4 linked regions of the Saccharomyces cerevisiae S288C genome follow. The protein of the gene in region 3 interacts with the protein of the main gene of each other region in a pairwise test. Each region holds a gene or a part of one and is shown on either strand. Other genes may lie near its edges. The genes, in order: BRX1, NOP4, RRP14 and SPB1.

Evidence for each region.
Region 1: the proteins of RRP14 (region 3) and BRX1 interact in a two-hybrid assay, tested with the Saccharomyces cerevisiae proteins (one study listed by BioGRID).
Region 2: the proteins of RRP14 (region 3) and NOP4 interact in binary tests that used the Saccharomyces cerevisiae proteins (3 or more experiments, as listed by UniProt).
Region 4: the proteins of RRP14 (region 3) and SPB1 interact in binary tests that used the Saccharomyces cerevisiae proteins (3 or more experiments, as listed by UniProt).

The regions. Positions count from the first base shown.
Region 1 is NC_001147.6:184,260-189,790, reverse strand, and holds BRX1 (ribosome biogenesis protein BRX1), read left to right. Parts: upstream 1-3,067; coding exon 3,068-3,943; downstream 3,944-5,531. Other genes in the region: YOL075C (uncharacterized protein), read left to right, coding at 1-133; MDM20 (Mdm20p), read right to left, coding at 377-2,767; ATP19 (F1F0 ATP synthase subunit k), read right to left, coding at 4,147-4,353; AVO1 (Avo1p), read right to left, coding at 4,579-5,531. UniProt on the Saccharomyces cerevisiae protein: Required for biogenesis of the 60S ribosomal subunit.
Region 2 is NC_001148.4:468,235-474,701, forward strand, and holds NOP4 (mRNA-binding ribosome biosynthesis protein NOP4), read left to right. Parts: upstream 1-1,704; coding exon 1,705-3,762; downstream 3,763-6,467. Other genes in the region: tethering complex subunit VPS16, read left to right, coding at 1-1,422; cyclin-dependent serine/threonine protein kinase SSN3, read right to left, coding at 4,806-6,467. UniProt on the Saccharomyces cerevisiae protein: Required for 60S ribosomal subunit synthesis. Probably involved in the processing of 27S rRNA to produce mature 25S rRNA.
Region 3 is NC_001143.9:280,189-284,783, reverse strand, and holds RRP14 (ribosome biosynthesis protein RRP14), read left to right. Parts: upstream 1-2,454; coding exon 2,455-3,759; downstream 3,760-4,595. Other genes in the region: TEF4 (translation elongation factor EF1B gamma), read right to left, coding at 329-1,362, 1,689-1,893; HOT13 (Hot13p), read right to left, coding at 3,925-4,275. UniProt on the Saccharomyces cerevisiae protein: Involved in ribosome biogenesis and cell polarity. Required for the synthesis of both 40S and 60S ribosomal subunits and may also play some direct role in correct positioning of the mitotic spindle during mitosis.
Region 4 is NC_001135.5:29,090-36,249, reverse strand, and holds SPB1 (27S pre-rRNA (guanosine2922-2'-O)-methyltransferase), read right to left. Parts: upstream 4,802-7,160; coding exon 2,276-4,801; downstream 1-2,275. Other genes in the region: LRE1 (Lre1p), read right to left, coding at 1-385; PBN1 (Pbn1p), read left to right, coding at 857-2,107; RDT1 (Rdt1p), read right to left, coding at 5,254-5,340. UniProt on the Saccharomyces cerevisiae protein: Required for proper assembly of pre-ribosomal particles during the biogenesis of the 60S ribosomal subunit. Specifically methylates the guanosine in position 2922 of the 25S rRNA at the stage of 27S pre-rRNA maturation.

The sequences.
Region 1 (5,531 bases), on a different chromosome or scaffold from region 3:
TGATGTGTTGGTTTCTTATGGTTTAGTCAGAAATACGCAAAAGTACCTGGGAATCATTGTGTGCGTAGCCATAATTTATCGCCTTATTGCATTTTTTATTTTAAAAGCAAAATTGGAGTGGATAAAATGGTGATTGGAAAAATACTTATAGACCTGTAAATTAACGGGAGGAACATCGTTATTATTTTCCTATGATTTTTTGAAATTTATTCTCCTCAAAAATCATATACTACTTTTTCTTTCAGAAATTATGGAGCTTGAAAAGGCTGCTGATATAAAAGTCTTGCGATACATGTTATTTTATCTACCTAAAAAAAAAAAAATAAAAGAAAATTGTCTATCTGCGACTGCTCTATAATGGAGATGTAATTTTTGTTCATAAATTTCTTACACTTTTTTGGATGCCTAGTAATGAATTTTTAATGTTCTTGACATTTTCAGCTTTAACATCAAGTTCTTTTAACAAGTTGCCACATTCATCTTTTTTTAATTCTTCATATGCTTGTACTAAAGCTTTAGAATAACCTTTAAATACATCATCGCAACAACTCCTCAACTCCTTGAGGGAGTTTTTGATTAGTTTTTGAATTTCTTTATCTTTGATTCTCTTCAAACTGTCTAGTGTTTTTAAGGTTGCCATTTTAGTAAGGTAAGTATGGGATACCATCCAGTTTTGTTTTGCATTTATTGGGACTTTCATCAACCTAGAAATTAAATCATGTAGATTTTTACCGTTATTTTCGTAAATTTCGAAAAAAATCAGAAATGACGCTGACTCCACTTCAGTTAAATTATTATTCAACAACTCTTCAAGGTTAATTGATGGAAGTTTTTTTAAGAGCGCACTTATTTGTTCCGTTTTCTCCCCATTTGGCAAAGCTTCAATAATAAGTTCTCTTATCAAAGTTAGAAAAATTGATTCTTCATTCAAGTTAGCATATTCCAAAATTTTACCACGGTTAAGAAATTGGGCAAAATTTTCATCTAATATGGAAAAGTCTCTATTGTCAGAAAATGATACACTTTGCGTCATTTCTAAAGATCTCCAATCTTCGTGTAATTTTTGTAGTAGGTGGCCGCGCTTGTCGTTGCATAAACGTGAGAACTGTAAGTTTTCTAAAGTTTTGGTCCATCTTGTATAGGATTTCATTAGTTTATCCCTCATCTCGAGCATTCCTAGTATTTTGCTATATGAATTTCTTTCGAATGCCACCTGAATATATCTTGGTAAATTAGCCAGTGATGTATCGTATAAATTATTATGTTCATGGAATGTCTTGGAGTAAAAATCGCTCTGTTTATTCGGGAACAAAGTAGAAAATCTCGAGAATATCATGTAATCTAGGGAATCTGTTTGAACGTTTTTAATCTTTAGGTTTATGAAATGGAAATAAGCATCGGGAACTAAACCCAGGTACATGTATAAAACAATCAGCCAGCACATAGTATCGAAGTTATGAGGGTCCTTGGCTTGGTAATTTTCCAATATCGTTATACACAAAAGCACGTCTTTCAATTCAGGATTAGTTTTCTTGCACTTGTCCTTGACTATTTCTAATAAGAATGTAGAACAGGAGGAATAATCCGTTACCGATTTTTTTTCCAGGGTCCCCTTAAACTTGTTATAGTTATTGATTGAGTCGCTTCCAATAAGTCCCAATTCTAGAATATTACAATGATGAATCAAATCCTTATCCTCTGGATCGTACTTAGACATAATGCTCTTAAGCATATCTATGTTAATGTGGCCGCTGTAATGATTCAAATCGATTGAACAACAAGGTTTGTTATGGTACTTTGATAAATAGTACGACAAAGATGATTCCGAAACCGAATCGGTGTACATTATATCAAGTTTCAAGCGCGCCAATCGAGTATTCCTTGAGTCTCCCAAATTTTCATCAATCCATTGTTTGACTTCGTCTTTAGATTTAGAAAGTTTGTAGGCAGCATCAATCAAGTTTGTGATCAATTCATAATCATCAAGGCCCTTTTCAATAAGTTTTGAACAAACTTCAAAAAGTTTTTGTGGAGAATTCAATAACTTGGTATGCTTCAAGATAAAGTTTTTCAAATACAAGTTTACTGAAGTATCAAAATTGGCAAAGGTAATCGCAACAATCTCTTCCGAGATTTCTCTAGATTGAGGGAATAGTTCATCCAACACCAAACAATAAACTATAATCTCTTGAACATTTTGAAATGGTTTCAAGTCTAACAAAGACTGGCGCGCTAGCCTGGAGAGCAAAATTTTCTTGGGATCTGAAAGAGTGTTTTCCTGAAACCTTGATACGGCTAAAATCGAGATTGCATTCCAAAAATAATATGCTCTTTTAGGCAGGTTTCCACTGTCACTGTATTTAGCTAGCTGTAGAGATGCTTTGCTCATTTGGTTATAATTGGAATCTTCCAATGCTTTCATAAACCAGTGATAAGACAATTCGTAGCTAGGGAATTTGAAATTTCCTCTTTCATACACGTGCAATGCTTCGTCGTATTTCCCTAACTCTACGAAGAAGTTGTGCAAAAACTCCAAGGAACGCGTGTCGCCCGTAATCGTTGTCCCTTTCAGCCCATATGGTTCTTCTAGCAGTTTATTGTAATCGAACTTACCAGGTGACTGCTTGAATTTAACATAGGTTTCCAAAATCTTGAAGTACAACGCATTGGGAAATTGTTTTTGCAATTGCCCCAGTTTTGCATAGCATTGTTTGAAGTTGGACCTGCTTACTAGTCCTAATATCTCCTCCTGTATCTTGTCGGACATGCTTCGATGCGATGATTGCTGTACCGAGCTCGTTATGTATCGTTGCTTCGCCAATGAATTCTGTTGCAGCTGACATTTATTATTTATTTTCCTAAAGCCCTCGGCGGTCCGTGGACAGTGATTTTCGTTAAAGGTGACTGAAAAATTTTAGATGCTCATCGCGATGGTTCTCAAAGAATCTATCACCTAAAAAGATACAGAAATTGCTATAATATTTACGAGTTAGAAGGTTACTTAGCCTTATTTTGCTTCACGTCTTTCTTTATACATTCGTCAGGTGTTGAAAGAGTTCAACCAAAGATGTCTTCTATCTACAAAGCCCTCGCAGGAAAGAGCAAAGATAATAAATCTGAAAAGAAGCAAGGCAATGTCAAGCAATTTATGAACAAGCAAAGAACTCTTCTGATTTCGAGTAGAGGTGTTAACTATAGACATCGTCATTTAATTCAAGACTTAAGCGGATTATTGCCTCATTCCAGAAAGGAGCCAAAATTGGATACTAAAAAGGATCTTCAACAGTTGAACGAAATCGCTGAGTTGTACAATTGTAATAATGTTCTATTCTTTGAGGCCAGAAAACACCAAGATTTGTATCTATGGTTATCCAAGCCGCCAAATGGGCCAACTATAAAATTTTACATTCAAAACTTGCATACTATGGATGAGTTGAATTTTACAGGTAACTGTTTAAAGGGTTCTCGTCCGGTATTGTCGTTTGATCAACGTTTCGAATCCTCCCCACACTACCAATTAATTAAGGAGTTGCTAGTGCATAATTTTGGTGTACCACCAAATGCTAGAAAATCTAAGCCATTTATTGATCACGTCATGTCCTTCAGTATTGTAGATGATAAAATATGGGTGAGGACATATGAGATCTCACACAGTACTAAGAACAAAGAAGAATATGAAGATGGCGAAGAAGACATATCATTAGTGGAAATTGGCCCTAGGTTTGTTATGACTGTCATTTTGATCCTAGAAGGTTCATTTGGTGGTCCAAAGATCTATGAAAATAAACAATATGTTTCGCCAAACGTCGTAAGAGCTCAAATTAAACAACAAGCTGCTGAGGAGGCAAAGTCTAGAGCTGAAGCTGCTGTGGAAAGAAAAATTAAGAGAAGAGAGAATGTTCTTGCCGCCGATCCTTTATCAAACGATGCCTTGTTTAAATAATAAGCATAATACTATCAGAGAGTTTTACATAACATTGTATATTAAAAAGATATAACAAGAAAAGAGTGGATGTAGCAACTGTCTAGTTATAGACCTCTTTTTAATAATTTAATGTTTAAATCTTGAATATCGAAAGCTGTATATATAAAGAATATTTATTGTATGTACAAAAGATCTTCAACCGCGCAGCAATCAAGCTATATTTACGCATCTTGCTTTTCCGAATGTTTCTTTAAGTAGTTTTCAATGAATTTTTCCTCGTCTTTGTTGTCTGTTTTGATGTCGACTGTTTTTGGCTTTGCGCTTTTAAAAGGATTTGGAACAACCAATAAACCTAGCAGTCCTAATGTCCCAATGGCTAGTTGGTGTGGAGGGATAGCTTTCCCCATGAAATGATAAGCAGCACCCATTGTCGTAGTTATAAATTATTATTTGAAGTCACCTGGCCTTATTCAATGCTAACGAGTTATGTGCTCTATGGGGGGACTTGCTCCTAAAAAGCTCTTTTTTTTCCCTTTGCATCGAGAAGCGGACTCTGACCAATCACCATCGAGATCGCGATGAAGTATTTTCTATACCATATTTAGATATAAACCAAAATTAATGCTGGTAAGATGCAGTATAATGGGTTTTACTTATTTATGATTCATTCTATAAGCGCTTAATAAGTTTTGTAATCGCGTCACGATCTCAGTACACTCTTGACCTGAAACTGCTTCAAAGTAGTACCTTTTGATATCATCTTGCCCCTCTCTTCTTACGAAAATTTTGAAATGCTCAGGGACTCTTTTGGATTTTTTGACAAGAACCACTTGACTAATGTGTAACGACTTAGTCTTTACATTATCATGCCAATGTATACGTCCCTCCGGGGGTACAATGTATATGTAGTCGCCATCAATGGCTAGTGTTCTTTCATGCTTGTTTATAAATGACATTTGCTGCCTTCTCCATACCTTATATTTATGATACGCTCCGGTAAAAAGATCTTGGAAGTTATCTCCAACTCCATTTGGAGTGTCAGGCGTGTGCTCCATCGTACTCTGAGAACGGTTTATATTATGAAACTGCAGTGTCCCATGCAAAGAGGATTTGGATGAATTCTTGTTCTTGAAAAACCCATTTCCATTGGCGAGACCGCCAGCCGTTGAAACACTTCCACTAGCAACACTTGATGACGAATGCTGCTTTGCCAAGCCCAGCTTATACTTCGTGGATATCTTCTTAGCTTTGGATGTAACTTTCGTGTTTTCAGGAATGGCAGCCACAGCCCCTCCAGCATCTGCTTTGAGATAAGAGTTCAGAGGCTCCAAAGTTAACGGAGTTAGATCATTACTTTGGATCGTTGGCAAAACGGGCTTCTTTAGGTCAGGTTTCATTTTTTCCAAATGCAACTCCCTTGCATCTTTTTTAGAGATGAGTTCCACCTTATTAATACCATCGAGCCTTAATACCGTATCATTCAAGTCCAGTATATAGTTCTTTCCTAGAACTTTTAATGCATATTCATTAGGATCCATATTTTTCATTTTGCAATATTTTACCAAAATATCGTTTATATGTGAGGTCACTAAAACACTTATGGTAG
Region 2 (6,467 bases), on a different chromosome or scaffold from region 3:
GCAATTGAAATATTAAAGAATTTTGTCTTAGAGAAGGGTGTACTGGACTGTATTGCTGCTGCAATAGACGAATTTGAACCTAAACTACAGAAGATGTTGTTGAACGCTGCATCTTATGGAAAAGCTTCTTTGCAGTACAAGTCATTTGACGCTAGTATATTTGTGAATGCGTGTAATACGATAAAATTATTAAACTGCTTCAGAAGTTTTGGTATTTTTTTGACTGTGGAGGAATACAGGTGTATTTCTTTGAAAGGTGTCATTGATAGGCTGTTGAAGTATCACAGATATTATGAGTGCATACAGATATGCAAATTGGCCAATGAACGATTTCTGTTAGGATACGTGTTTACTGAGTGGGCAAAGGATAAAATCAAGGGTAGTCCTGACATGGAAGATGATGAGTTACTAGACAAAATCAAATCTCGACTAAGTGTTATAGATATGACGGATACATTACAAATGGTAGCAGTTGCGAAAGTTGCATATCTTGAAGGAAGGTTCCAGTTATCCCGTAATTTAGCTTTATTAGAGAAAAACGAAGAAGCTAGAATTGAGCAACTGTATAATCTTGATGATGATAGTATAGCGCTAAAGGAGTGTATCAAAGTACAAAATTACAGTCTGACAATTTCATTACTGATTGCACTTTCCAAAAAGCTGACAAACTCTCAACTGACGAAGCTTTTGATCATTGATATGTTCAACAATCCCTTATATCTCTATTATATGAGAATGGATAAAGCATACTTGTACGATTTTTACCGCCAAACTGACCGATTTATTGACTTGGCTCACGTATTACTGCAGCAGGGAAAAGAACAGCAATCTTTACACAGCTTTTTACCGCAAATTAAGGACCTTTATAGCCAAGTTCAAAACAGTGAAGTGGTCAACAATACAATAGAACAACTTCAAAGACAGGAAAAGTTGTGGATATACCAAGAATCATTAGGCAAAAGATTTGCTATATCATTCACTAATATGACTTTAGATCAAACGCTTTCGAAGTTAATAGAAACAGGGCAAGATAAACAGGTGAAAGAAATAGTTAAAAAGTTCAAAATAAGCGAAAAAAAGCTGTATCACCTGAAATGTAAAACGTTAGTCGAAGCTAAGAAGTTTGACGAACTACTACAGTTTGCTCAGTCGCGGAAATCACCAATTGGTTACATGCCTTTCTACACATACTTAAAAAGCAGAGGCCATATGGATAAAGCTAGTCCTTATGTTAATATGATACCTGGCCTTTCGTATCAGGAAAAGAAAAAGCTTTATGTGGAGTGCAGGGGTTTTCGTGATGCAATTCAACTAGCAGGAAAGGAAAAAGACATTCCAGGCTTAAAGGAGATATATAATATTATACCACCTAATGAGCCGGAATTAAAGGCATTAGCAAATGAAACTATGAGCAGGATATAGAACTCATAATTTATAGACGTTGTGGATATCTAGCCGCATATCAAATAATTAAATGCTGCCATTACGTTTGTGCGGTTATATATGTTGGCTCCCTATAGGGTTACCCATGGAACGGCGAAGGAAAAAAAAAATAATTTTCACTGAAAAATTTCAAGAGTCTATCTCATCTCATCGTTTATTCTGAATTAAATACTACATACAAAATCTTTTTATTAGTAAAATAGTGAGATTTCTTCGTGAACTAGTGAAAAGCTATCAATATTACCAATCTACCAAAGTGAGATGGAAGAAACAATAGAAAATGTTGAAGTGCCTTCTAGTAATGTCTCAAAACAAAATGACGACGGCCTAGATATGAAGACTTTGTTTGTGAGGTCTATACCCCAGGATGTCACAGATGAGCAGCTGGCAGATTTCTTTTCCAATTTTGCTCCGATCAAGCATGCGGTAGTTGTTAAGGACACGAATAAAAGGTCCAGGGGCTTCGGGTTCGTTAGTTTTGCTGTAGAGGATGACACAAAAGAAGCCCTAGCTAAGGCCAGAAAGACCAAATTTAACGGACATATCTTGAGGGTAGACATTGCTAAAAGAAGAGATCGTTCAAAGAAAACATCAGAAGTGGTTGAAAAGAGCACACCTGAGTCATCTGAGAAAATAACGGGCCAGAACAATGAAGATGAGGACGATGCTGATGGTGAAGACTCCATGCTAAAAGGTAAACCGAAATTAATTATCAGAAATATGCCATGGAGTTGTCGTGATCCAGTTAAATTGAAAAAGATCTTTGGTAGATATGGTACCGTCGTGGAGGCTACCATTCCAAGGAAGCGTGATGGTAAATTGTGTGGATTTGCGTTTGTTACTATGAAGAAAATCAGTAATTGTAGAATTGCTTTGGAAAACACCAAAGACTTGAAAATTGATGGTAGAAAGGTGGCTGTTGATTTTGCTGTTCAAAAAAACAGATGGGAAGATTACAAAAAAGCCCAGCCAGAAATGAATGACAAAGATGATAACGAGTCAGGAAATGAAGATGCTGAAGAAAACCATGACGACGAAGAAGATGAAAATGAAGAGGAAGATAGACAAGTAGATCAAGCTTCAAAAAACAAAGAATCGAAACGTAAAGCACAAAACAAAAGGGAAGATTTTTCTGTTTTTGTTCGTAACGTCCCTTATGATGCCACTGAAGAATCTTTGGCTCCGCACTTCAGTAAATTTGGCAGCGTTAAATACGCATTACCTGTTATCGATAAGTCTACGGGGTTGGCTAAAGGTACGGCCTTTGTAGCCTTCAAAGACCAATATACATATAACGAGTGTATCAAAAATGCGCCTGCGGCTGGCTCTACCTCTTTATTGATAGGTGATGATGTCATGCCTGAGTATGTGTATGAAGGTCGTGTTCTGTCCATTACTCCAACGTTAGTAAGAGAGGATGCTGGAAGAATGGCAGAAAAGAACGCCGCCAAAAGAAAGGAGGCCCTAGGTAAAGCGCCAGGCGAAAAAGATAGACGTAACTTATATTTGCTGAATGAAGGTAGAGTTGTTGAAGGCTCAAAAATGGCTGATTTGTTAACCAACACTGACATGGAGATCAGAGAAAAATCTTACAAATTAAGAGTGGAGCAACTGAAAAAGAACCCATCTTTGCATTTGTCGATGACTAGGTTGGCTATCAGAAATCTTCCTAGAGCAATGAATGATAAAGCATTAAAGGCGTTAGCTCGTAAAGCTGTCGTGGAATTTGCTACAGAAGTTAAAAATAAGGAAAGACATCCATTGAGTAAAGAAGAGATTATCAGATCTACAAAGGAAAAATACAAGTTCATGGGTCCAGATGAGATTGAAGCTCAAAAAAAGAAAGACAAAAAAAGTGGTGTTGTCAAGCAAGCAAAAGTTATAATGGAAGTTAAAGGATCAACTGCGGGAAGAAGTAGAGGTTACGGTTTTGTAGAATTCAGAGATCATAAAAACGCTTTGATGGGCTTAAGGTGGTTGAATTGTCATGCCGTTACCTCCGATGAAATTTTAGAGGGTTTGAATGATGATGAAAAGAAACAAGTAGACAATGACTTAGGCAAAGGAAGACGTCTTTGTGTTGAATTTGCGATTGAGAACTCTAACGTCGTAAAGAGAAGAAGGGAACAATTGAAGCAAGCAAGAACCAAGAGAACAAGACCAGATAATGAAGATACTGGAGATGTCGGAGAATCCGAGAATAAGAAGCCAAAAAAAGAAGAAGCAACGACGCCCACCAATCCCGATGACAAAAAGATGGGCGATGATATAAAGAGAATAATCGGGTTCAAGCGTAAGAGAAAGCACGCAAAAAAATAGAGGTAGAACCATATTTATAGGAATTTCGATTTGTATTCTCTTTACGTATGTACATTATTTTTCAAAGAGTAGATAGATGAATCTCTAACGTACTCGAAAGCTTTTATGTCGTTATTTTAGTACTGTTTTACGAGAAGCGCGAGAAACTCTCTACATATACTGTCCAGCATCTCAGTAAATCATACTGAAACCTTATTACCAGTATCGCTCCTAGACGTTCCGTTTGAAGTAATAGGCAAGACGAGAATTATTTATTTCCCATGATATACATAATGGTTATAAGTAGACCGCAAATAAAAGTATGTAAAATTAGCTATGTTTCTACATTGTTTGTGCAATGACTTTTAGGTTCGGCTGGTCATTAATAACTAGGTGATGCTGAATTCACGTATCTTATTAGATACATTTAGAATTCATGACTTCTCCTTTGTATGAGCGTGTCCCTCCTTTTCTTGATGGTTTCAGCCCTTCTACATACTACACAATGTACTTTGTTAACCGATGATAACTCTACTTTATACGTAGTTTAGACTTTGAACGGGATGAACTGGTTGTTTCATCCAATGTTTTCGTAAAGTCATTCTTTTTTATGGAAAATGTACAAAGTTGTTTATATTTTTTGCTATGGTTATTAACCTGAATACCATTAACAGATGTGTTATAATGGGAACATATTACTATTGCCGATAAGTTACGAACAAACCTACTACTACCATTATATAAAAATTAAGGGGGGTACTTGAAGTCTTTTCTTTCTTCTTTTTTGGGAATGCATGAGATATTCATATGTTTTAAAGCCCCATTAGTTGAGATGAATTATGACGAAATTCGCATACATCTGCGGAGAACAGGGTTTTAGCTCGACCTAAAATCAACCCATTATTTTACCTGAATGTTGCAGACTTGCATTCTTAGTGCCTCTAAAGCGAAAAATTGAAACTGTATGCCGATTTAAATACTATAAAGATAAAAAAAAGTTTAATGAATATAATAGTGACAGTGCTGTGGAATGAAAAATTCCAAATATATATAAAAATAGAAGCCTATCTTCTGTTTTTCTTTCGAGATGGCTCATCTGATGCATTGTTTCCTGACACCGCAGCAGCGGCTGCTGCTGCCGCGGCCAGAATTCTACGGTTAACACCAAGCCCACCTAACGCATTTGCAGCGGCACCTGCGGTGATTCCTGAAGCTTGTGTATTGTTTTTCGTTCTTGATCCAAGATTCATGATGTCATTATCGTTCGTGTGAATTCTTCTTGCCGGGTATTTGTAAGTTAGACCTTCAAATACATTTTCACTAACAGGAATATCACTTTCTGTGAAGTACTTATGTTCCAACGCATTAAATGCATCTATTCTTTTAATTGGATCATAATTTAACAAGTGGTAAAGTAAGCTTAAAGCATGCTTGTCCCTTCCTCCCGCGGAATGATACCATGTAGCAAGGTTATCCCTATACTTTGGAAACTTCGTAATTTGATCATATTCTGGATACTTCTCCAAATAAGGCCAAATTTTTTGATCGGGAGTGCCAAGAACTTCCAAAATTCTCTGTAGTTGATTCACTTGAAATGGAACAGTCTTTTTAGAGTCTAGTTTAGCTTCTTCACCTTTAAATATGGGCTGTAATCCTATCAGTTCTGCAAAAATGCAGCCAACGGACCATAAATCAACCGCAGGGGTATAGTGCCGTGCTCCCAATAGCAACTCAGGTGCACGGTACCATATAGTGACAACCACTTTATCCCCAGTATAGAGGGTTTGCAGCATATTATGAAATTTTCTGGCCAAACCTAAATCACCAATTTTAACACATCCATCTATGGTCACCATTATATTTGCGGGTTTCAAATCTCGATGAAGCACCCAATTTTGATGAAGATACGATACGCCGTCTAAAAGCTGCCACATAATAGACCGAACCATTCTTGGTGGTATCATCCTTTTTTCGGGATGGGAATGGAAGTGGATAATTTGTAGCAGATCATGCTCCGCATATTCGTATACCATATGGACACATTTCCTTTCCAAAAAAATTTCCACTAATGTGGTTAAATGCTTGTTGTGCAATTCTCGACATAATGCCATTTCTCTACAGGCACTCTGAGATATTCCCGTATAATGCAATTGTTCGACGCCATCCTTCTCTGTCTTGAACTTTTTAATGGCATAAAATACCGTCAGCGGTTTTTTAATGAGGGTTTGTTTTTGGGAATTATAGTGCGGGGATACATCTTCCCTCGTAGTTCGTATTCTTCCGGGGGTCACTCCTTCATCCTTTAACAAGTTTCTTCTTAATGCGTTTGTATTTGCCTGCATGTCCATTGAAGAGCTTGATTTTGGTTGCGTGCTGTCAAACTGCGGAATTTTCGCATTGGTACCATTCAGACTAGAACCATTAGCGGAATTGGTACCGGAGTTGATTTGTCTTTTCGCTTTGTAAACTTTACCATATGTGCCCGCAGCAATGTAGCCAATAACTTCGTACTTTTCTAAGACAGATACCCGCATTCTATCTTTTCTTGCCCTATAAGGTCCAATAGTAAAAACATCATTATTGGCCATTAGCATCGGGGCTTTTCCATGCACACTTCCGATTGTGTTTTTCTTTCCAACGAACGATTGAGCTTGCTGTTGTCCTTGTACCTGCATAGGCCTTTGGTACATTGGCTGATAGGAGTTTTGTGCTCTATCCTTGCCATT
Region 3 (4,595 bases):
ACGGAAAATTGTTTTTTTCGCTATTGTTGCAAAAGTACAATGGAAAATGCCCCACTGAAACATGAAATAAGAAGAGAAGAATCAAGTTTATGCAAAATATTGTTAGAGTAACCGCAGCAGATTGTGATACTCAATTAGAGAGATTATTACAATATATATATATATAATGATTACATGGACGTTAATCGTTACATAGAATTAAACCACGCGTAAGTATGGGGTAATCATGAAGTAGACTTCAGGGTTTTTTTCTTTTTTCTTTTGAAAATTCGTTTTGTTTGACTCTTATGTATATTGGGAAGAAAATATGGAAGAAGAGTTATTGAGATTATTTCAAAACCTTACCGTCAACAATTTCCTTATCTTCGCCATTGACAACAACAGGCTTATCCCAAGCCCACATGTTGTTGACAAATTCTTTGTCTTCTTCCTTGGTTGGGTCCAACTTGGTGTATTCGTAAGATTCCCAGTCTGGAGCGACATCAAAGGCTGGAGCGAAATCTTGGCCTCTGACCATAACGGCACCAACAATACCATTATTGTTGTTTTCACCATAGACAACTAAACAACCGAACATGTACTTAGTAGAAGCGGACAATCTGTTGAAAAAACCACCGACCAAGTTGTTGGACATGAAAGTCAAGGTAAGTTCGTCGTTGTATTTGTAACCAACCTTCCAGATGGAGTATTCTTCAGGGTTGTAGTGTTCCCAGAACCATGGCAAAGCAACTGGTCTGGTGTCGTCGTTGGAGTACTTTCTCTTCCAGTCATCCAAGACAAATGTGGACTTTCCTAAAGCTTCCAATGGGTGCTTTGGCTTTTTAGCTGGAGCAGCATCATCTGCTGGCTTAGCTTCGTCCTTCTTCTTTTCAGCCTTTGACTTTTCGGCCTTTGGCTTTTCAGCCTTTTGCTTCTTTGGTGGAGTGTAGGTTAGAGCCTTTTCAGCCAATTTGACTTCAGCAAATGGAGTCTTCACGATTGGAGAAGCAGCAACAGTGTTGAACCATCTCATCAAATGAGGATGCTTAGCTCTCCATTCAGGGCCCAAAATAGTGGCCAAACCAAAAGCCCAAGAACCAGCGGCATGAAGGTCACCTAGAGAAATGTTTTCGGTAGCAACAAAGGTGTAGTCTCTCAATCTAGCATCGAAGACAGCAGCTAGGTTGTCGATTTTAACAAAACAAGCATCAACGTCTTTCTTGTTGTATGGAATCAAACCTTTGAAAGAAAGGAATGGACGAGCAATGTTGCTCATGACATCGGAATTAGCTAGAGATGCCCATCTAAGGATTTGAGACTTTTCGATAACGTCGGAACCTAATAAGCGAGCTCTTTCTTTTTCATCGGCAACTTGATTAGCCACTAAATATACATCATCTCGATGGTTATACAACCATTAATTGAAGAAATGTTAGTAAAACAATCCTTTATATTTTTTCCTGGATTAGGACACGCTTTGTACTTCCTTTTTGTTATTTTGACTTTCATTTTTCTTTAAGAAACATATCAGAAATACAAATATCAACATATGAGAGGTTACCTATTATTACCCATTCAGACAGGGATAACTGTTTGATAAAATTTTTTTTCATCATTATGTTTCGAAGAAAAATGACGTGCCAAATAAACGAACGGGAAACGCGCAAAACAATGTATGTGGAAGTGTTAAAATAAAATATGGAACATACAATAAAATTGGATAGCCAAAGCTTCAGTTAGCTTTAAGCCCTTTGGACCCAAAAATGCAGGGGCTTGCTTCAATGGGAACAAAGAAGCAAACTCGCTAGATTGTTCTAGATCAACGATCTTGACATCTAGTTTAAAGTAAGAAATCAAAGCTTCAGAAGCGTAGTTTCTTGGAGATCTATTAATGTATAAAGTACCTTGGGACATCTTGAATCTATCGAGGGCCAAAATCAAAGAATTGAGTTGGTATTAAGGATGGACACCAGTTTTGAACAAAATTAACGACGGAATGGATGAATTAAATATGAAAAAGAAAGTATTGCAAACTGTTGATGAAAAAAATTTTTCTTTCAATTTTGTCAGCAGCAGAGCGCATTACCCTGCCGGCCACATGCCGAATTAAATTAAATGAGGGCTGCTATTGCCAAATGTGATGGCTTGCCTACAGAGGTTAATTTCCCTTGTTTTGGGCTTCCTCTCTCAACACGATTGACACAAGCAATAGAGGCAAAGGTGTGTAATGAGTTCGTGTACCAATTAAAGTAAAGTAGAGTGGTTTAATTGGGATTACACGATTAAAAAGTTTCACCCAGACACCAAATTGAAAATTTTTTAAAATGAATTCTTTTTATTCTCATCTCCGGTAAAGAAAAGAGGAAAGTACAATAAAAGAGATGAGATGACCAAGAGATGAATAACAAGTGAGGACTGAGACGTTGTTGCAAGTGATAAAGAAAGTCCGGGAATTGAAAGATATAGGAGACTGAGATGAGTAATTCACTTGAGGAGCGCCTTCGTGCTAATTCAAGCGCCTTCGATGGTTTATTGGCTTTAATTCCTGCAAAATACTATTATGATGAAAAAAGTCAAGAGCAATGGAAGGCCAAGAAGAAAACCAAAGAACAGAGTAAAAATGATAAACTGAAAAAATTAGACCCGGAGCAACGTGATGATGAAACATCTAGTACATTAGAAGTAATGAAGAAGAAGGAGAAAGACGCAAAGCCGGTGGTCCTACCTGGTGAAAAATTCAAGCACATGAAAATGCAAAAGCAAAAGGAAGCAACATCAAAAGTGGAAGGAGACTCCGACCTGAACGTAGAAGTAAACGATCCTATGATAATAGCACCAGACGAAGATGAAGAAGAGGAAGAGGATATTAAGGTGATCTTTGATGATGAGGGAAATGAAATACCATTAGAATCTAAAAAAGATACTACAGAGCCCGATAGATCTGTCGAAAAGAAGTCTATTACAGAGGAAGAGAAACTACAAAGAAAGAAAAACTTGGAAGCACTACGTTCCAAGTTACAAGCGAAAATTTCAGATATGAAGAGTAAAAGGAAAGCACCCGGTTCTAGAGAGGCTATTCTTGCTCAAAGGAAACGCAAGGAAGAGTTGAAAAAAAGAAAGCGTCTAGAAAGTGAACAGGAACAGGATCAGGATGAAATTGCGTCTGATTCCGATATGGAAGACATCGATAGTGATTTAGAAAACAATTCGAAAAAAAGATTCAAAAAAGGCAAGAAGGACTCAGAAATTAACGCAGATGGTGTAATGTTTCAAAATATCATATTCGATGATGGTGCAAGGGCCACTTCAGATTTACAAAGGTTAAGAAAAGCTGGTAGAACGAAGGGTCCGGCTAAGAATGATGTAAAATCACACTTAAAGTTATTAGAAGCCAAGAAGAATAAGATGGAGGCGAAAGACGAACTAGAACAAATCAAGCAGAAGGAAAAGGAAAAATGGCAAAAGGCTATGTTACAAGCAGAAGGAATTAAGATTAGGGATGACGAAAAACTACTTCGCAAAGCTATAAAGAGAAAGGAAGCACAAAAGAGAAAGTCTGCGATTGAATGGAGCGAACGTAAGAGGGTTGTGGAAGACACGATATCTGAAAGACAAAAGAGAAGAGAAGAGAATCTGAGGATTAGGAAAGACAACAAGGGTAAAAAGAGAAATAAGCAAGAAAAGATGAAAAGAAAGTATGTCGGTAGTGCCGTACCAAAGAAAAGAGCCGGATTTGAGGGTAGATTAAAAACAGGTAAAAAGAAGGGAGGACCTAAATAATAATCACGATAATAATAACAACAATAATAGATATATATATATGTATGAACATATATATACAGATACATATATATATATATATATCTATATATATACCATCGCATTTTTTCCTTAACGAGAAGAGCACAGCAGAGCTTAAGATGGCATGCATTTATAGAACAACACTCAACACATAGCGGGGGGAGGGTTCTGGAAATACAAATGGTAGTGCAATTTACAGCCTGGATTAAAGGGGGATCTGCAATTGGGACAAATAAGGTTTGAATTGTAGTCGTAATACTCTGCAAACGTCATTTCATGACGGCAAACTCCGCAAATAATCAAGTGTTTATTTGCATCGTCAAGGAGATCATATTTTTCTAGCGGGTGAGAACTTAACTCTTGGTGGCATTCAAAGCACGCATAGTACTTATCACAACATTTAAACCTGATGGCAATTACATCCTTTGGAAGATGCCAGTGGACACATCGAGATTGGTCATCCACTGTCTTACCATAAATGGCAGTTTCGATCATCTATATTTGCAAATTGTAAGTGGTACGTATTTTTTTTTTTATATCATATATGTATATTTAAAGAAACTCGTAAACCGAAACGTTTATTCATCATTATCATCATCATCATCATTATCATCACCATCACACCGCGCGCGCCTATTTAATCATTTTTGTTTTTCCTCGTCTACGGAAGAAAAAAAGGTGTAGGAGCAACGAATAGCATGAATTTTTCTCTAGTTGATTTTTGGCAGTTTCCTTCCTTTCAATTGGCTAAATATAACAAAGAATTAAATAAAAAAGATGTCGTAATCTCATGATGGCGAGTAGTCTTCCGTTCT
Region 4 (7,160 bases), on a different chromosome or scaffold from region 3:
CTTTAACTGGCGATGAAAAACTTGGCTCTTCACTAATGAAAAATCGTGGACTTGGTGTTTGCAGATTGTTCTTTGGTGATAACGGATAAAATCTTGGTTCAGGCAAATCTAACGTTCCAGCGTCTTCATTGGTTTTGCAAGGAAATCTATTGTAGCGTATTGGCGATAATGTACTTGATACAGCAGTTGGGGCAGTTGAAGGACAATTTTCAGCCGCCTGTGGAGGTGGTAAATTCACAATTGCTGCAGGCTGTTTCAAAAAATCAAAATCTCCTGATATTGCTAGCGATCTGCGATGGCGGTGACCTCTTTTGGATGGTGTAGACAAAGTATTTACAGGATTTGGCTCTGATATTTGCACATGTTGAGTATGCGTATTGGGCATTTTCCTATTCTGAGAAGGAGTATGAAATAATTGCCGAGGGTTCAGAATGCTCTTTTAGAAATAAAAATGAATGTAAATAGTTGGAATGTATCTTTAAGTAGACAAATGCAGGTAAGTTTTAGTGGCCTTTGCGGATTAACAGTATGCTCTTAGTGCAAAACACGAAAAGAGCTCCCAATCTTTGAACACAATCGACCACGGAGGAACAATACACGTAGAAGGGGATAACTAAAACTTTGTCGTGCAAGAGTATTGGAGGACACACTAACAGCAGAACTTTGCCTTCTTAACTCTTGTTTATGATTGCTTGAAGTATTACACATGTAATAAAAGATGATTATTTTTTTTTTCCTAAAAAAAGTTCCTTTCTTTGAAGATCCCCCTGATAAAAAAGATCAAATAATGGAAACGCTAATCATAATCAAATCGGGAGGAGAATAAACGCAAGAAGTGTGCGTTTCTAGCTGAGTAATGGTGACAAGACATAGAGTGACTGTACTCTACAATGCCCCTGAGGATATCGGTAATCATATGCGCCAAAATGACACTCATTTGACTGTTCGTGGAGGTTCTGGTGTGGTTTTACAACAAAGGTGGCTATTAGAGAGGACTGGAAGCTTGGATAAATCCTTTACGAGAATCACTTGGAGGCCCAGAGCGGACTTGGCTAGAAGTTTAAGCGTTATAGAAAATGAACTGAGTGCTGGCTTTTCAGTTTACTCAAATTCTTCGGATGTGCCGGAAAGGTTTATTACTAACCCAGTCTACAATTCATTTCACAGTGAGAAGTTTGACATAGAGCAGTACTTGCCTCCCGAAGTAGATTTGAATCTGTCATGGAATCCAGAAGATTTTACATATGATATATCAGTGGAGCCCACACAAATCCAAATTGTTGAATATCGTCTGTTGAAACAGGGTGAAGAATTTACAATTGCAAGAGTGAAAGATGAGAAACTCGAAGTAGGTGTATTCTTTGTGGATGCAAGTGATGAAAGTGATGTCGATATTGGTGGAATACGTTGTAATTGGAGGATGGACGATGGTAAAATGGAAAGATGTCAGAAAACATCCTTATTGTATAAACAGGGCCATATCGCATACAATCACTCGACGACTACGACATCACTATATCTGAATGAACCTATCGGTTTGCATCCAAAAATCATGATTGATCTCACAGATTTCGAAGAACGCCCTAAATGCATGTATCTAATGCACCTGCAATTGCCGTTAGAATTATTTATCGATAAATTCCAATCCTCTCCCTTACTACTTTTTGGAGAAGACGACTTAGAATTACCAGAATACTCTCTTCGAGATAAGGCATGGGGTTCTGAAAGTATCTTTGAATTGAAAGCCGGCACAATGAATGAAGTGACATTGCATACTAGATATATTGAGCCTTCTAATAATAAAGGGGATAAATTAGAAGTTTCATTTGATCCAGAAGTTATATTAGCCTGCGACACAGGTGACAATAAAGTTTCCCGTAATCCATTTTATAAAAAAGGTCTAGGATATGAATCTCTCTTTACAGACGATACTACATTCCGCCATTTGAACTCGACAACTCTTCTAGTACCAATTCCAAGGCCTGACACAAAGGATTATTCCAAGATCAAAAATGGTACGTTACTATGCTTACTCATCTCCATCATATACATTTTCTCCAAGGTATTTGGTAACAACAAGAAGAAAAGATCAGTAAAACGGGAATAAAAATTGTTCTACTGTGCACTCGTATTTTCTGAATTCAAAACGATAGGTTTCCTATAAGTTTTTTGATGATAATTTGATTAATTCTATGTATACATAATATATCTATTGCTTTCTTTTCCTTTATTTTCAATATTATACAAGGGAATGGAAAAATAATGCTCTTTGTTACTACTTTTTCTTGTGATGCTTCTTTGCGATACGTCTTAGGGCTCTTTGTTCATTCTTCATGACACCATCAACCATCTTATACTTACCCTTAACGCCCTTTGGTCTACCTGCCAAACCTTTGTTCCTACCTGAGGCAACAACCAAAGTAACCTTTGGCTTGGTCTTTGGTTTTTTGGTAACCTTACGCATCAATCTAGAAATTTCTTCAGCCTTGTCCTTCTCTGTCTTGTCTGAATCATCGTTAATCAAGCCCGCCTTCTTCTTGATCTTTTCTAACCGAGCTACGGCACGCATCCTCTTTCTTGCCTTAGCTTCAGCAACCTTCTTAATAGGACGGGCGTTCATTGCCTTTATTTTTTCTTTAATTGCCATCGCTGCCTCCTTAGTAATCGGCTTATTTATCTTTGAATGTTCCTTTTCATCTTCTAAAAACCAATCTGGCAAATTTTCGGTGTCACGGAAGGTGTATCTATTGAAACCTTCATCAACAAGATCATGCTTGTTTTTCTGACCCAATGCTAACTGATGTGCCAAAGTCATGGCTTCAACAGTAGCAATATCAATGTCTCTGGAATGCTTTTCTTTCTTTGTTTGATTTTTTTCTTCCTCTGAATCATAATCAGAATCGAATTCTTCTGATGCATTATCGTTGGCCACAATTTCGAAATCGGAGTCATCACTTGAACTCTCATCCGAAGAATCTGCTTCATCTTGTTTCTGGTGCATTTCTTCATGTTTTCTTTTCTTATTTAATTTAGAAATATCACCAACAGACTCGGAACTCATTATGCCATCATTGACGGTATTTACTGGCAAATCAGGTTCAACGTTATTAAATATCGGATCATTGAAAATCATACGTGCCTTACTACTCAATTTGTGATCACCTTCTTGTCCCTTCAATTTGCTAATCAAATTGGTGATGGCTTCATCATCATCGGAGTCTCCTTCGACACCTTCATCGTCATTGTCTTCGATATAATCTTTACCTTCCTCTTCTTTCTTTTCTAGACTTCCCTCATTAAAACCGGTCCATTCTTCCTCATTATCGCCACCACGTGCTTGCTTAGCTCTAAACTTGGCATCCCTTTCCGACCTTCTAGTTTTATAATCACTATACATGGCATTCAACTCGCTTTCTAAATCGTCCGCATCAGCGGCAGAATCCTTATCTTTGATCATGATGTTTTCATCAATGTAAATATCATTATCTTTGGCTAATTCATCGTCTGTAAAAATCATTCTTTTCTTACCCTTCGCCAAGTCGTTCAAGATACCAGTCTTTTCTGCAGTTTTCAAATTAAACAACGATTCTTTACCCAAACTTGCGGCTTCAATACCAATATCAGTGGGGGTTATCATGTTCATTTGCATTCTCTGTAGTTCCTTTTGCTTCATTTCGTTCTTCCTTCTTCTTTCGCGCTTGACATTTAGACGCTGCTTCTCCTGTAAACCTTGCAAATCTTTTTCAATTTGCTCCTCTTCTGTTAACGGTACTACTTCAATTTCTGTTTTAGCGTCGTCCTTAACTTCGATGCCCAAGATTTCCCTTGCAATCTTTCTCCATCTTAGGATCATTTTAAAATCCTTTTTACCCAAGACTTTTAAATCTTCAATACAGGAACGGAACTCGTCTGTGGTTTGTTTCAATTTCTTCAAGATCTTCCATTCATGGTCATTCTCATCAATTGTAAACTTATTCATTTCTCCAAGCATGCTTATTGGGTCTTCCGTCCTGACAAAATCCAAAATTGAGGTTTCATGATACAGTAAATTATCACCTTCCTCATAACCTTGTCTTTTTCTAACTTTTTTTTCGGGATTATAAATCTTGGACTCCATATTCTGTTGCCCATCTGGCAATTCTTCAAAAACTTCTTTTGGATCCAGTAATCTTGGGTCCAGCCTCTTTGGTGCCTTGAAACCTTTACACACTACAAAAATTTCTGCAGAAACATTTCTTGATGCGGGTGGTTTTGTGGCTTCAACTTTCTCAAACAATTGTTGGAAAACCCAAATCAATTTATTATAATCCTTGGATCTGAAAATTTTAGTAACAAAAGTACCGTTCACCACCAAATTTTCGACGGCCAACTTCAAAGCTTGTAAGGTTAATTGAGATTGGGTGAAAGCATCCTGAACCCAACCCAAACCAACATTAGGAGCACCATCATGCAACACTGTATCAGCTTTCCAAGTCTTCATATAACCCCTCAATTTTGATCTACAATCTTCTGTTGTAATATCACTTTGAAAAGTTATAACATTGGGCATCGGCTTCATTGGAACAATATCAACACCAATAATTAAGGAGTTGACAGGACAGAGTTTGGATGCAACTTGACACCATGAACCAGGAGCAGCACACAGATCAATAACAACCTTCGATTTTTCTAAGAAGTGGCCATACTTTTCATTAATCTGAATAATCTTAAAGGATGAACGAGCACGATAACCTTTCTCCTTTGCTAGATAATAGTATCTATCTAAACGTCCCTTACTATTCTTCTTTTGTGTCTTACCCATTTTTGCCAATCACCTCTATTGAGTTAAATCTAACTACAAACTGAAGCAGAATGAGTATTGAAAGAATCTAAACTTAAACTAACTACTATACTATTATTGCCAATTTTTCATAATGGGCATCGCAAAAAATTTTTCAGACAAAAAGAAACAAGCTGGGTAACCCGCTTTTGCGGTTTTAGTATACTGGAGGAGATTAAAATTAGACAAAAGAATAATAACGTAAGGTGAAAAATGTTTAAACTCAATAGTGTGAGGTTTACGTGGCTATATATACGCAATATATACACTTTAATCCAAATTATCCCTCCCACCTGCTTGCTACTCTTTTGAGATTTATCTTAACGAGCTAAACAGACAGACTTCGGAAGTTCAAGCTGTCCAGAACTCCTTTATAGAGCCAAAAAAAGTAATGCTTTCGATTATTTCTGGTTCTAGAAATTTTTCAATACCCTTTAGTAGTCTTCTTTGCGCCGGATTGCTGGACAAATAGAATTTCTTCTTGACTTAACTATAAAAACAAAAATCTTCTGTCGTATCATAGCTACATGCTGTAGTTTTCGATTAAATACATGCTGCAGTTTTCGATTAAATGCTAATTTTTGTATCCAATATATAGCTATTCATCAATTGAAATATTCATTTTATAAGTAAGATTGAAAAAAAAAAAGAAAACCACAAAGAGGAGCAGAAACGTGGCAATCTAAAGAAAAAAAAGCACCATCTTGCAAACACTAGCACATTTGATAATCATAGAGAACAAAAATAATTCAAAGGTGTGCTTGTAAGTCTTTAAACGCGCCTTTTTCTTTATTTGTCGAGAATCGTGTAAATTTCCCAATACAGTAATTACACGATCCACGCTGTCCCAAAAAAGTTCAAAAAATTTTTCGTGCTTTTCCTTTATTGAAAATCATTTAGTCCAGTTTCATTCTGTGTTCTGTGTTTCTTCGACTTTGAGATTTCTATTGAAGTAGTTATTTATTTACAAAATTTATTGTATTTACACTTATTATAAATTTTCTGTCATCTCGACTTAGTACACCTGGCGCTGGTTGTTATTGGCAATATAATAGACAATATTATCTCATCAATACAACAAATTAAACTCCAGAAGTCACATAAAGTATACAATTAGTCTTGAAGCATCTGATTTTGAAATCTTTTTGGTATCAATTAACGTGCCGGAATACTGTTTGCACGAAGGAATCAAAGATAGGTACTGTGTGCGTCAACAGAACTTAAGCACTAGTGATTTATATTAAAAAAACCAAACAATTAGAACAATTAATTAACAGTGACTTTGAAATTCAGAACTATATTTACGTCGTCTGCAATTAGAATTAAAAGGAAATCAAAAATTCAGATACAAAGTTCATGGCATCTGCTTTGACATATTTGTTATAATTGTGTAAAAGGGCACAGTCAATGAGTAGTAGATAGTAAAGCCTAAATAATTATATGTAGCAATTGCTTCTCTTGAAATTGGGTATCATGGGTGAAAAATTATTGTGCATTTATAGCAAACCTATTAAACAGATCAATGTTTTAGTGAAAATTATGTCACTGGACAATACAAATCTTTGGAAACCGTCCCTAGAATTTGGAATTGGATAATTTAACTCTTTAGAATATAACATCTACCGAAGTACAACAATATCCATTTTATTAACGAAAGTACTGCTACAATGAAAGTATGGGTTATTATTACCTACGAATTTTAATCCTGTTTCCCTAATACTGTAGTCCCATTTTCCTTCTTTTTCCTAGTGAAAAATACATGCCTTGTTTCTGAGTTTTAGAGAATTACCTGCTGCAAAGTAGTAATTCGTTCACCATCAAAGAGTCCTTAATTTTCATTGTTTCGTAAATTCTCAAACAAATTTACAAAGTTTTCAATGGCTTGCAAATATTGTTTTGTTTATTAAACATTTACAAACTTAAATAAACAAACCAACAAATAAATAAACAAATCAACAAATAAATAAACAAATAAATAAACAAAAAACTATGATAAAATATTTCTAAAAATCTAATTGGAAAACAAAAAACTATCCAAAACCCTGGGCAAAATAATTATTTCGAATAAGTACCTCGACTTCAAATCAAAACAAACAAACAAACAAGCAAACAAACAAATAAACAAACAAATTCTCTGTTCCTATTTTCTTCCTCTTTGTTCTGCACTTCCAGCTTTTTATGCGAGAACATCGTGTAAACTTCCTATTTAAGTAATTACATGGCTGAAAAAGTGAACACGCTAGAACACGAAAAGACAAAAAAGAAAAATGGAAAAAACAGAGGAAAATCAAGTAGAATAATGTTTATTTACCTTTCACTCAACTGTATCTTTTTGTTTATT